3 linked regions of the Caenorhabditis elegans genome follow. The gene in region 2 interacts genetically with the main gene of each other region. Each region holds a gene or a part of one and is shown on either strand. Other genes may lie near its edges. The genes, in order: ikb-1, act-1 and ZK512.4.

The links.
Region 1: of act-1 (region 2) and ikb-1, changing one enhances a phenotype caused by changing the other (phenotypic enhancement), as found in Caenorhabditis elegans (one study listed by BioGRID).
Region 3: of act-1 (region 2) and ZK512.4, changing one enhances a phenotype caused by changing the other (phenotypic enhancement), as found in Caenorhabditis elegans (one study listed by BioGRID).

Annotation. Positions count from the first base shown.
Region 1 is NC_003279.8:9,683,459-9,689,249, forward strand, and holds ikb-1 (Death domain-containing protein), read left to right. Parts: upstream 1-1,939; 5' UTR 1,940-2,095; coding exon 2,096-2,167; intron 2,168-2,713; coding exon 2,714-2,837; intron 2,838-2,886; coding exon 2,887-2,969; intron 2,970-3,112; coding exon 3,113-3,360; intron 3,361-3,410; coding exon 3,411-3,493; intron 3,494-3,802; coding exon 3,803-3,936; intron 3,937-3,992; coding exon 3,993-4,262; intron 4,263-4,309; coding exon 4,310-4,655; intron 4,656-4,700; coding exon 4,701-5,134; 3' UTR 5,135-5,195; downstream 5,196-5,791. Other genes in the region: rpl-14 (Large ribosomal subunit protein eL14), read left to right, coding at 5,744-5,791.
Region 2 is NC_003283.11:11,079,184-11,082,987, reverse strand, and holds act-1 (Actin-1), read right to left. Parts: upstream 1,937-3,804; 5' UTR 1,916-1,936; coding exon 1,726-1,915; intron 1,678-1,725; coding exon 897-1,677; intron 845-896; coding exon 685-844; 3' UTR 573-684; downstream 1-572. UniProt on the Caenorhabditis elegans protein: Actins are highly conserved proteins that are involved in various types of cell motility and are ubiquitously expressed in all eukaryotic cells.
Region 3 is NC_003281.10:9,143,602-9,146,557, reverse strand, and holds ZK512.4 (Signal recognition particle 9 kDa protein), read right to left. Parts: upstream 1,219-2,956; 5' UTR 1,209-1,218; coding exon 1,132-1,208; intron 816-1,131; coding exon 662-815; 3' UTR 599-661; downstream 1-598. Other genes in the region: ZK512.8 (uncharacterized protein), read right to left, coding at 1-4, 380-475; ZK512.11 (uncharacterized protein), read right to left, coding at 1,954-2,151, 2,205-2,339; ZK512.2 (putative ATP-dependent RNA helicase DDX55 homolog), read left to right, coding at 1,772-1,879, 2,559-2,842. UniProt on the Caenorhabditis elegans protein: Component of the signal recognition particle (SRP) complex, a ribonucleoprotein complex that mediates the cotranslational targeting of secretory and membrane proteins to the endoplasmic reticulum (ER).

The sequences.
Region 1 (5,791 bases), on a different chromosome or scaffold from region 2:
CTTTGTCCAGTTGAAATATTGTCTCTAAATAGACCTGAAATGTGATTAAAAACGATATATTTTGTTAAAACATTCCAAAATTTTTCAGATTTTTCAAAACTTTCAGTTAAAATTTTGGTAGAATACCAAAATTCCAAATCCTTAACCTACTTCATCTGTAACATTTTTGGTGCTGGAATATACACTCGAAAAGTGATAATGAAATGGCATAGGCACAAAAAATAGTAAAAAAAGGGACAACAATTGTACACAAAGATTTGGTGGAAAGAGGGTGAGACGAGGATTTGAGGCGACGACCCCCTCGTACCTATTAATTATATTTCAGGAGAACTAACGGAACGAGAGCGATCCTAAGTCAATGCTTGAGGGACGACAGCTTCTTCTCCTTTTTATATTTTACCCAAACTTTCCTGGCTTAAATTAAATCAAACTCGGGCAAGACTTGGTTAAAGATCATTCTTTCCCTTATCTAATTTTTGGTGACATTTAAACCTCTCAATTTTACCGTATTTCCTCTATTAGTATGGCACCGGCTACTTAACTTTGAAACGTTATATCTCGATTCATTTCAAAGATATCAATATTTTATAAACTACGAAATAATAGAAAAAGAACTAAAAAATATATTGTTAGATGACAAATTTTGAATAGTACAAACGATTACTGAGATAGTATAAGCTGTCAAAGTTGAACAATTGGGTGCAATACTAATGAGGAAAAACGGTAAGTTATTTTGTTGTTTTGTTGATATAGTTTTGCCAATATCAAGTCTTTTATATTTTTATAGTGGTTCCACAGGGAATACATTTAAAAAATCGATGAAAAATGAAAAAAGTAACAGTAAACCGTCACCTTACCAAAACATTGTTCACTTTATCAGTGCACACTGTCTTGGCGTTATTATTTGCCGTTCAATTAACTCTGAGTCATAGTTGACTATAAATCGAAAATTAGTCTTGCAAATACTGCAAATTATTTCTGAAAAAAAAACTCGACTTTCCAACTAGCGATATGTTTGCAAATGCAAAAGATACTTAGAAAGAAACACTCGGATTATTTCAAACTTTTATTGTTTTATTTCAGAAATCTGTGCTTTATTTACAGTGTGTGATGAAACACTTCTAAATAACGTAGAGTAAAAAAAAACACTTCAAAGCGGTTTTAATGTTTTATCTGCAGACTATTTTAATTGTAACAATAATTGAGCTTTTTTGCGAATTTTTTCGTCCCAAAAAAAAAGAAAAAAAAAGGGTCCAGAAAAAACAAACAAACATGAGTTCAACTCTCCACCACGGGAAAATTTTTTGCGAATTTTTTCGTTCCAAAAAAAAGGAAAAAAAATTCATCAATGAAAAGTAGGCAGTTCAGAAACCGAAAAGCTTAACATTTTTGCCACAATTGATCCCATGCTGATTGGACAACGGTTTTTTAAATCAGAACTTTTGCAGATCTCTCGATTTGATAGAAACATATTAATAGTTCTATCAAAAACAACGTCCTTATTAAAATTTTTTTAAATATTTAAATACAGTTGTCTTAACTTTCAATTGGGTATTTGTTTACTTTGATTCCGAAGTGTCCATTGCATCATCTTTAAAAAAAAAAATTATATCTCCTCTTAAGGTGACACCACTGTTAGATCTCTTGGAGAACTCTGATCAGCTCCAAATATGACCTCATATTATTAGGTTGGCATAGTTGTTTATCGAGTTATCTAACAAATGTTTTTGACACAGTATCTAGATTGTCTGATATTTACGTGTAAGCTCGTGGTCAATATCACATTCTAGTTCATTTCGAACACATCATCATTTTCTGTGCTTCTCTATTTCTCTCCAAATCCGCTGATATTTTCATTCATCCCCATCAGATTGTCATAAGATTGTCCTCGCGCTCTTTTCCGATCGACCAAGTGCTTGAACCCAAAGATCGTGCGAATAGTGTAAAAGTTGAAGAGACATAGGCATTTGCCGAGTTTACACACAGTCGAGCAGGCGGTGGTCGTTGGAGAGAAGCTTTCTCGCGGGATACCCTCATTCTAATATCCTCTCGTTCGTTTCATTTTGATTATTGGTTTTTTAATCATTTTCTAATAATGTCTAAAGCTGATGAAAATGATGCTAATCTCACAGAAAATGGAGTTCACAAATCGAGATCAGACTCAGAGGTTTGTAGTAGTACTACTAGTACTGTAGTTAAAAAATATATTAGCTTCAATGAGGATTTTGACTGAATTATATGAATCAATATATTCAATATAATAATCAATATAATTCCAAAATAACCAAATATCATAATAAAGAACTCTAAAAATTCCCAGTCAAAAATTTGGTAAATTTCCAAATTTGCCAACCATTTGGACTTTGTGAGAAATCTAAAGCAAAGTTACGTATCTGAACCTTTAAAATGGTTAAATACAAATATTTGAAACATAATTATAAAGTAAATATAAAATTGGTAGAAAAAAAACGTTTTTTTTTGGTACAATTACAAAATTGAGAATGGCGAAAACTGTGTGATCGCCAGTTTTTTGGTGGAAAATATCAAAAATTTTCAGAACAGATATATACTTATATTTGGTCATTTTAACTCTATAAAATTAGTTTTTAAAATTTTTACCCTGATGGCATATGAGCCAAATAAGAAAATAATCAAGCACTTTCTAGAAGCGAGCAATTATGAATATAAAAAAGTATATCAAATTATTGTCTAGATAAATTCCCATACATCATCAATTCATAAATCCTCAAGTCAACATCGCCGGTTATTCATTGATGATATTTCAACTATTGAAGCATCTGCTGGTGATCGCGTCTGGGCAACATGTTCTGGTGCTGGTTAGTTTAAGTTACAGTCGGATGAAGAAAATCTTTCTTTTTAATACAGGAGACGCCACTGAACTCATCACAATTCACTTTCTAGGCGATCAATTTGAAGAGAGTGCAATTGATGTTGTTAGGAAACATTCGGTAAGGACCGTTTCGTAAAAGGGAAAACTGAAAAAATAATATAATTTCAATAAATGATAAAATTCGCATTGAAATTGTACCCATTCTCCGTAATCTGTAACAAAATCTGTGTAAAAACTTATATAATTAATGATGTTTTACAGCTTGTAATGTTCACAGTCCCTTCTCTGAAAGTAGACTCAGAATTGGAAGTGGAGCTCAGATTTTCAACTTCAAATGATAATGTGACAACGATTTCTTTCAAATACTTGCCACGAAAAATCCAACGTTCGCATACTCAGGAAATATCGCTTTTTGACAATTTACTTGAATTTGCCACCAACGGAGACACAATTTCATTACTTCAGCCTTTTGTAGCACAAATTTCAAAACAAGATATTGAAGGAAATACGTAAGATTTCAAGTTTTCCTCTCCTTTACAACATTCATAATTTATTCCAGAGTATTCCATGTGGCAGCGAAGAATGGGCAGAGCTTCTCATTAAAGCTTCTACTTTCAGTGATTCCACCCGATATTAAAAATGGTAAGATGTTTTGAGACGAAGCTATTTAAAGCACCTGTGATTGAATTGGCATAAAAACTTCAGTATTTATATCACCAAGACGCGAAATTTCGCATTTTTTCGCGCAGAAAATACGACACGACAATTTTTTGTAAATTTTCATAGTTTGTTTTGAAGGTTATATTTAACAAATTCTGCAAAGACAGAAGTTTGATATTACAGTAGTTTTCTTAAAGGTGCACACCTTTTCTCATTTAGCAAAAATTTGTCGTGTCGAGACCGGAGATCTTATTTTTGGCGCAATATTTTGCATATGGGTAATATTTTCAGAAGTGATAAATGTACAAAACACACATGGTCTTACTGCACTACATGTAGCTATAAGGACTGGAGATCCCGATGCTGTTCATTATCTCATGAATCATGGAGCCAAAATTGACATATCAGATAATCATGGGAGCACAGTAAGTATATAACAGACAAAATGTTCGCTTTGTGTAGATTATTCAATACTTCTCAGGCTCTACATTATCTTGGAGATGCATACAATGAATCAATTTTCAAAGAAATATTAGAACCATCTAGAGGTCAACGGTTTGATGTGAATCAGCTGAATTCGGAGGGATTTGCACCGATTCACGTGGCAGTAAGAAGGTTGAAGCTGTCGTTGATTGAGATGCTCATTGAAGCGGGAGCATTGATTGATTTTTTGGATACTGAAAAGAAAAGAAATGCGTTGATGCACGCAATTGAAATGAATGATTTTGAGACTATTCAGCTTTTGGTTGAGGTAACTGTACATAGAAAAACATTGTTTTAAATTTAATATTTTTTCAGAGAGGATCAGGAACAAATATAGAAGATGAATCTGGAGAGACTGCATTGAGCTTGGCTGTAAAAAACGTTAACTATCCAGTGATTGGCCTTCTTTTAGATAATGGAGCTGATCCGAATAGACAAAATTCTAAAGGAATATGCTTGGCAGATAGTGAAGATAGTGTTATTCAAAACATTATAAATGGAGATAGACCCGAACTACCCAAGAAAGAAGCTTTTGGTGTTCCTAATGATTTAGCTATTTCTAGATCTCCCTTATTTGGGAGATCTCATCCAGATCAGGCTCCAGGTGAAGAGAGTGGGCGGCACAGAGTTGTGAAGAGATCTAGAGAAGAAATATTAAATGGTATGTTTTCTGAAAGATTTTTTGAAATTAGATCCGTTTTTGTAGACGCTCAAACTCTTCTCGCTGAAACTGACTCCATGGCTCCACGTGTTTCGAGAATATCCACATCTGAATCTGAAGATGAGCAACAGCCGGGACCCTCAACATCGTCGGGAACACGAAGGCGTCGAAGTGAATGGGATCGGAATCCGAAGCTTAGTGATTCGGTCTGCAATTTAGATTATTTGACCCGAATTCGCGTTGCAAAAATATTTGATGATCAGTGCAAATGGCAAAGATTGGCACAACAACTCAATTGTGATCACATGGTGGAACTTATTTCTATTTGCTCATCGGGAGACGATTCAAGCCCGACTATGATTCTTTTGGACCAATTTGAACAACTTGAAGACTCATCAATTTCCCGATTGCGCGATGCTATGAATCAAATGGCAGAAGATGATGCAGTTAAATTAATTGATTCCCGTTATGTTTACTGAATATCGCAGAATTGTTTTTATTTATTTTGTTTTCAGTAATAAAACTTTACCATGCATCCTGTATTAATTTACAAAATGCAATTTATATCGAAAAACTGGACTAAGTTGCTTTTTCCTAAAATATGAACACGACTTTTTTGAAAATTCACCGGTTTAATGAAATTCATACAGGTTCAGTACAAATACATACATTAATCACTGAAATTACATAAGAGCAAACAATTGAGCAAAGTTCCCCTTCCTACAATGAAAAAGATGAGATAAACTGCGCCGCAGTTGCGTTGGGTGCGCCGCATACTTGCACGTGTCCCGCCCCATGTGGGTCTCGCCACGAAATTGTCACCGTAGCCTATGGCTGTCTTACTCATTTTGCGATTTTTTTCCCAAATTTTCTTCTTTTTCAGCAAATTTTTGATATTTTTCGGTTGTTTCTGTGATAAAAACGATATAAGAAAAATTCAGAACCAGTTTGTCTATCGATTAATACTAAAATCATAAGTTTTTGCTCAAAATATATCGTTTTAGCTGGTGAAGTCAATTTTTTCGGTGTTTCTTCACTTCTCAATGTACGCGTTATAATTTTGATTTATTATTTAATTTTCAGTAAACATGGTCTTCAACCGTGTCGTTCAAATTGGGCGCGTCGTCTTCATCGCC
Region 2 (3,804 bases):
ACTTTTTTCCAAAATAAAAAATTAAAGAATTAATTTATTGTACATATAAAACTTAAAACTTAAACAAGTTTGCGTTTTTCTCGCAGAGTTGAATCAATGGAGAAGTTTGTGTTCTTAATTAACATTGTTTACATTTAAAACTATTATCCGTACGGAAGTTATCATACAACCGCCTACACTTCCCTTCCTGTTCAAAGATTTTCTGTTTTCTTCCTATCAGTTCGACGCTTCTCGTCGTTTTTGCCTCCGCATGTTGTGTAAACAGATGCTTTCGCCGCCGTGGGAATAAGAAGAAACTATGGAATGTGTGCTTTCTTTCTCGAGAGACGAGCAGTATCTTCACGAACGTTGCGATTCTCGGAATCGCTCTGCGCCCACTCAAATATCTCTCATGTCGCAACTGTCTTCAACGTATTTCTCAAACAGTAACATTTTTTGGCGGCGAGTGCTTCAAGAATCTGTTAATGGTGCTGATAGACAATTTAGAAATATCAATTTTTAAATTTTTATTCACACCCGCAAATGAGTGAAAGGACAATAAGGACAAAAATGGGGCGGTTTTTTATTTTTTTGGGAAATATGCATGATGTTTCCTTGTTGCACAAAAATATGCAAACAAGAAATAGAAAGCTGGTGGTGACGATGGTTTTGAACTTGTTTGTGCAAGTTGACGAAGTTGTGCATTTAGAAGCACTTGCGGTGAACGATGGATGGGCCGGACTCGTCGTATTCTTGCTTGGAGATCCACATCTGTTGGAAGGTGGAGAGGGAAGCGAGGATAGATCCTCCGATCCAGACGGAGTACTTGCGCTCTGGTGGGGCGATGATCTTGATCTTCATGGTTCTGAAAAAAAATCAATTTAATTTGTTAACTGAAACAAAAATAGAAAACTTACGATGGGGCAAGAGCGGTGATTTCCTTCTGCATACGATCAGCAATTCCTGGGTACATGGTGGTTCCTCCGGAAAGAACAGTGTTGGCGTACAAGTCCTTACGGATATCAATGTCGCACTTCATGATGGAGTTGTAAGAAGTCTCGTGGATTCCGGCGGACTCCATACCCAAGAAGGATGGCTGGAACATAGCCTCTGGGCAACGGAAACGTTCGTTTCCGACGGTGATGACTTGTCCGTCAGGAAGTTCGTAGGACTTCTCGAGGGAAGAGGAAGAAGCGGCGGTGGCCATTTCTTGCTCGAAGTCGAGGGCGACGTAGCAGAGCTTCTCCTTGATGTCACGGACGATTTCACGCTCAGCGGTGGTGGTGAAAGAGTAACCACGCTCGGTAAGGATCTTCATGAGGTAATCAGTAAGATCACGTCCAGCCAAGTCAAGACGGAGGATGGCGTGTGGGAGGGCATATCCTTCGTAGATTGGGACGGTGTGGGTGACACCATCTCCAGAGTCGAGGACGACTCCGGTGGTACGTCCGGAAGCGTAGAGGGAGAGGACAGCTTGGATGGCGACATACATGGCTGGGGTGTTGAAGGTCTCGAACATGATTTGGGTCATCTTTTCACGGTTAGCCTTTGGATTGAGTGGGGCTTCAGTGAGGAGGACTGGGTGCTCTTCTGGGGCAACACGAAGCTCATTGTAGAAGGTGTGATGCCAGATCTTCTCCATATCATCCCAGTTGGTGACGATACCGTGCTCAATTGGGTACTTGAGGGTAAGGATACCTGAAATAGTACGCATAAATTTAATCATCGAATGTATTAATTATTTACCTCTCTTGGATTGGGCCTCGTCTCCGACGTACGAGTCCTTCTGTCCCATACCGACCATGACTCCTTGATGACGTGGTCTTCCGACAATGGATGGGAACACGGCGCGTGGAGCGTCGTCTCCGGCGAATCCGGCCTTGCACATTCCGGATCCATTGTCTACAACAAGAGCGGCAACCTCGTCGTCACACATTTTGATTAGTTTTTAATGTACCTGAAAAATTAAATTGATAATATAACACAGAACACGTGGGGAAACGGTGATAGTATTGAGCAGAATATATATTATATATATAGTGGGACAATTCATCAGGTGGGCGGTGGTAAAAACAAAATCAAATAAGGCGTGACTAATACATTGGGTGAGTCATGAACACGATTTTTATTTTAAAAATTCTTATCTATGGTGTGAGGCATTAATGGAGGAAGGAATACTTTCGAAACTTCAGTGATAGTCTTATCTCTGGTGTTATCTGTTCGCTTATCAAAATGCTGTATTTGAAAAAAGTGTTCAAAACTTATTGCAAAATAGCGAAGAGTAAATAAAAGAAATTGAAAGAAAGCGTGGAGATGAGTGAGCTCTGTAAAACTGGGCACCGTTGCTTTTATACTGTGCCATGAAAGACAATTCTGCGTATTGGATTCACCGACTACACAACGAATTAGTGACTATGAGAAATAGAGAGGATCCAGACACCCGCGGGAGAAGACTCCACCCATAAACTCCCTCTTTCCACGGGAGCATCCCTCTTGCCAAGTTCTTCGTATTGGCCAGAGCCCACAACGCCCTCTAGCTATCTTATCCCTCCCTTTTCTCTTCATTTCCTCACGATCTCTCAGTGATCGGACCGATTGCGAAGGCGAGGAGTCCACGAGAGAGGAGGTGAGAAGAAATATGTGGCAACGTTTTTTGTCTATGACGAGAAGGGTGGGAGGTTTACGAAAACAACAATAACTTTTAGAAAGATGATGGGCGAACAGGTAAAGATGAGTAAATTTAATGAATACGTAAAAATGGTATGACCTAAATAATGCACAGGTAAATTAAAGCCAATAACAATTTACTGGAATTTCAATAGCTTCTGTAGAATGCGATTAAAGACGACTGTATTTTATATTTGGCATAAAACTGTTTTTTTTAAATTTAAACGGATATTTTAACAAAACTACAATATGTTTTAATTCATGTTGAATCTAACGTATTTGAATAAATAAATAATAAGTTATATATGATGGTCCGTATTCACTGTATTAATCGGAATCTAAAAATAGTGCATATTTGTTTCCAATAAATGAATTCATCTTACATGCTCACAATTCTTCAAATTCAATAGAATGAAAAATATACTTATTAATTGAAGGCAGAGCTTGTAAATCACCCCGTTGTGCACTAATGCGAACATGTGTGATGGAACATACACTGAGCAGACATATGCTATACATCTTTTAAGGCTATTTAATATTTTCTTTCCACATTTTGAAATTAATTTATTTTTTTTTAATCTTCATTGATATTGGTCTATGTGTGCAAGCACTTGTGAGGGCGGAAAGATGTTCAGAAATCATCGGGAGAGTACCAACTGATATTGAGGAGCAGAAAAAAAACCAGTGGGGGGGGGGGGGGGGCAGGCAAGAAACTCATGCAGGATTTTCTTGGTATATTCGATGAGATAGAAATACTTTCGAAGAGTTTACAAACATCACAGCATAGGGGATCGAAAATGGCAAAAAAGTCTGCGGACCCAATCAGTAATTGGAACGCTAGTGAAGAATTTTTGCGTGGGAAGGTGCAAGGGAAATTAGATGACACATATAAATACTGGAGGAATCGTAGTCTAGATACCTTTTCACTTGAAGAAACCATAAGCCTTTCGACTTTTCTGAAGGTTTGCTTTTTTAACGATTTCCTCGTGACAGAAAGAAAATGAGGCGTGTATAACGATTAGCGCATATTGGGTTGGTTCTGGTATTGCGCTGCCCGCACAGCAATTGCTGGTTAGAAGAGCTTAAGTCAAACCATTCATTGAAACATACATTGACCGGTTTTGTCTATCCTTTTCGAAGCTATTTTCTTCTCAAGAA
Region 3 (2,956 bases), on a different chromosome or scaffold from region 2:
CAGACTGAAATATTTTCTTCTTCATTAAGTTTTTCAACCACGTATTGTATGATACAGGTGCGAAACTTGGCAATTTTTTGCCTACAGCTCCTGGTCTCGGAGCGACAAATTGTTGTCAGATGCGGGAGGGTGTGCGCCTTTAAAGAGTACTGTAACTCCAAACTTCATCGATTATTGTTACCACTTATATTTTTAGTTTTTCAACAAATTAATAGTGTGTTGGAAAATCACTAAACATTCTGCAGCAACTAGACAAAATTACAGTACTCGTTAAAGGCGCACAACACTTTGCATTTAACAACAATTTGCCGCGTCGAGACCGGGCACCGTATTCCAAAAATCGGATTACAGCGCACACCAATAAAATAAATAAAATTACCTCTGCTCCATCAAAAGACACTGTCGGATAGTGTTGATCATTCTTGATTGAACGCGATTTACGATGCTTACGAGAGCTATCGTTCCGGTGAGACATTATTTCTTTGTCAAGCTAGAGGAATAAATTCAAACTGAATTTATTGATTTTTAAAGCTTTGGTTTATTTTTCTATCTGTAGTGTTGAAGTTCAAGTTCACGTATTTGAAAAACAATTTCATTCAATAAATATAAACTTTTTTTATTTAAATACTTAATTAAACCATAAACATAAAACAAAGCGTGTTTATTGAGTGACAATACCGCGAAGCAGGGTCGATGACAACTTCTCCAACTTTTTTACATCCTGCAATTGATTCGTACTGTATTGAAGGCAGACCACGTCATCGGTGAGCTTCAGCACGAGCTGTCCCTTTGTGTGGTTGTACTTGGTGACGAATCTGAAAATCAAAGTTTAGTTGTCACTAAAACTTTTGGAAATCTCCATGAGGAATGTTTTAGGGGATTTTTATTTAAATTCAGCTGAATATGCCATAAATAACAAAGAAACTACAAAAAAGTTGGTTGCAGAAATATCGACAAAAAGATTTTCCAGGAAATAATCCTTTAGTAATTTATGTTTCTCACGAATAAAAATTATTGATAAAATTGATTTTCTTTCGCTTTTCTATTTTATGTAAATATCGCACATTTAAGTAATCTATAACATTTTTCAATCCCGAAAGTGACGGTTTTTTTAAAATATTACGAACTAACCTGCATTTCTCCGGATTGGCACTATGAAGCCTTTCAGCAGCTTTTGCAAATTCGTCCCAGCTTGTGAAGTATGTCATTGTTTCGAATCTGAAAAAAAACTTGATTTATAAGTATGGAAGTATTTGAATAAGTAATGAGCGCAGAAAAGAAGGAAAGACGATTTTGGAGATTACTAACAAATAATATTATTAAAATATTCAAGTCAATTAATTCATAAATTCACTAGTAAAATAGTATTATTAAATTTTAATATTAAATAAAATGCTTAAAACATAATTTGTTGCCGGCCACATTTCAAGTGTCGTAAGATTCACTGCACTGGACGCAGAGATGCAATGCCGGTGTTTGCGTACTTTTCGAATTAATTTTTTTTGCTGAATTTTAAGAATTTTTAGATAATCTTTCTTATTCCTTAATAGTTTTGAATGGGTTTTAGTCTTATAATTAAGTGAGATTTCAATCTAATTTTTTCAACAGCTTTCGTATTTGAAAATTAACTAATTTTCATAGGAATTGACGGAATACTAAATATTTTCCTTGTTTGCTTTAATTAATTACTTCTAATGAATTTATCTTCTTATTAAACGTTTTCTCCGTTTAAAATATCTTTCCCAACCTTTATCTTTTTTCAGCCGTCAAAATGACATCAAAAGTGGGTCCAGTAGCCTTGAAAACGTTCCGCGAGAAGCTCGGCCCGGAACTGCTCGAAGTATTCGATAAAAGTTACAAATCGTTCACAGATGTACAAGTAAGTTTATAATAGTTTATTTGATCGAAGTGAAATTATATCAAGTGAGGAAATGTCCAAAATTTCCAAAGTAATCAATCCTTCTTCAATTTCGCATCCTTTTTTGCATCGTCCCAAGGAAATCTGAACGGATGAGCAGGTGTCATATCTCTCCATTCTCTATCTATATCGATATCGTATTCTTTAATTTTAACGTTAAAGCATTTTGCCATCACTATCACAAATATAACTGCCACAAGAACCACGAGAAAAGCAAACACGTAGAAAGTTTCCTGAAATTAAAATAATGTTTTTAATTAAACATTTTCCACTTAAAATCCAATACCTCATCAAACAACTCGTTGAATGTTGGAACTGCTTGATTCATCTGATGAACAACGTCCAACATTAATCGAGTTTTCCCATTTTTTCGCTTCCCTTGATAATAATACGCTCCCCAGTCCTGTTTCGGTTTGTTCATTCTCTAAAATCAAGAATATAAAATAAAAATGTTTGAAATATACAAGAAAAAGCATAGCATAAAATGGGTCAGAAGGGTGGGAGAAAGGATATTGATCGGGAGTTAGAGAGACGCAGACATGAGAGCAAAGGAGGAGTGTGCTCTCCTCAAAGCTGAGGAAAAAGCCATTTGATGTAGAAAGTAGTAGGAATGCATCTTTATTTAATTATCCAATTTCAGGTTCTCTCTGGAACACATCTCCTTAACCTGTCTGATGTTGTCGTTGAATCTCCAACTGGATCTGGAAAGACTCTTGCTTTCGTTTTACCAATGATGAGAATGATTCAAAATGCAAAACTTCAGCCTGCTGACATTGGAGCACTTATTCTATCGCCTTCAAGAGAGCTCTGCAGTCAAATCGTTAGCGTAATTCAACCATTCGCAGAGAAACTCAATTTAACTGTGGAAACAGTTACTGGAGGACAGAAAGTGGACAAAAATATCAAGATGTTCAAGAATAAAAAGTATGTTCGTATTTTTATGCGGAGTAAAAGATGAATTACAAAAAGTTCGCCAAAAAAAGCGAATTTCTTAATGAGACCTCAAAAAATTTCCATCATTTTTATGACGGTTTGAAA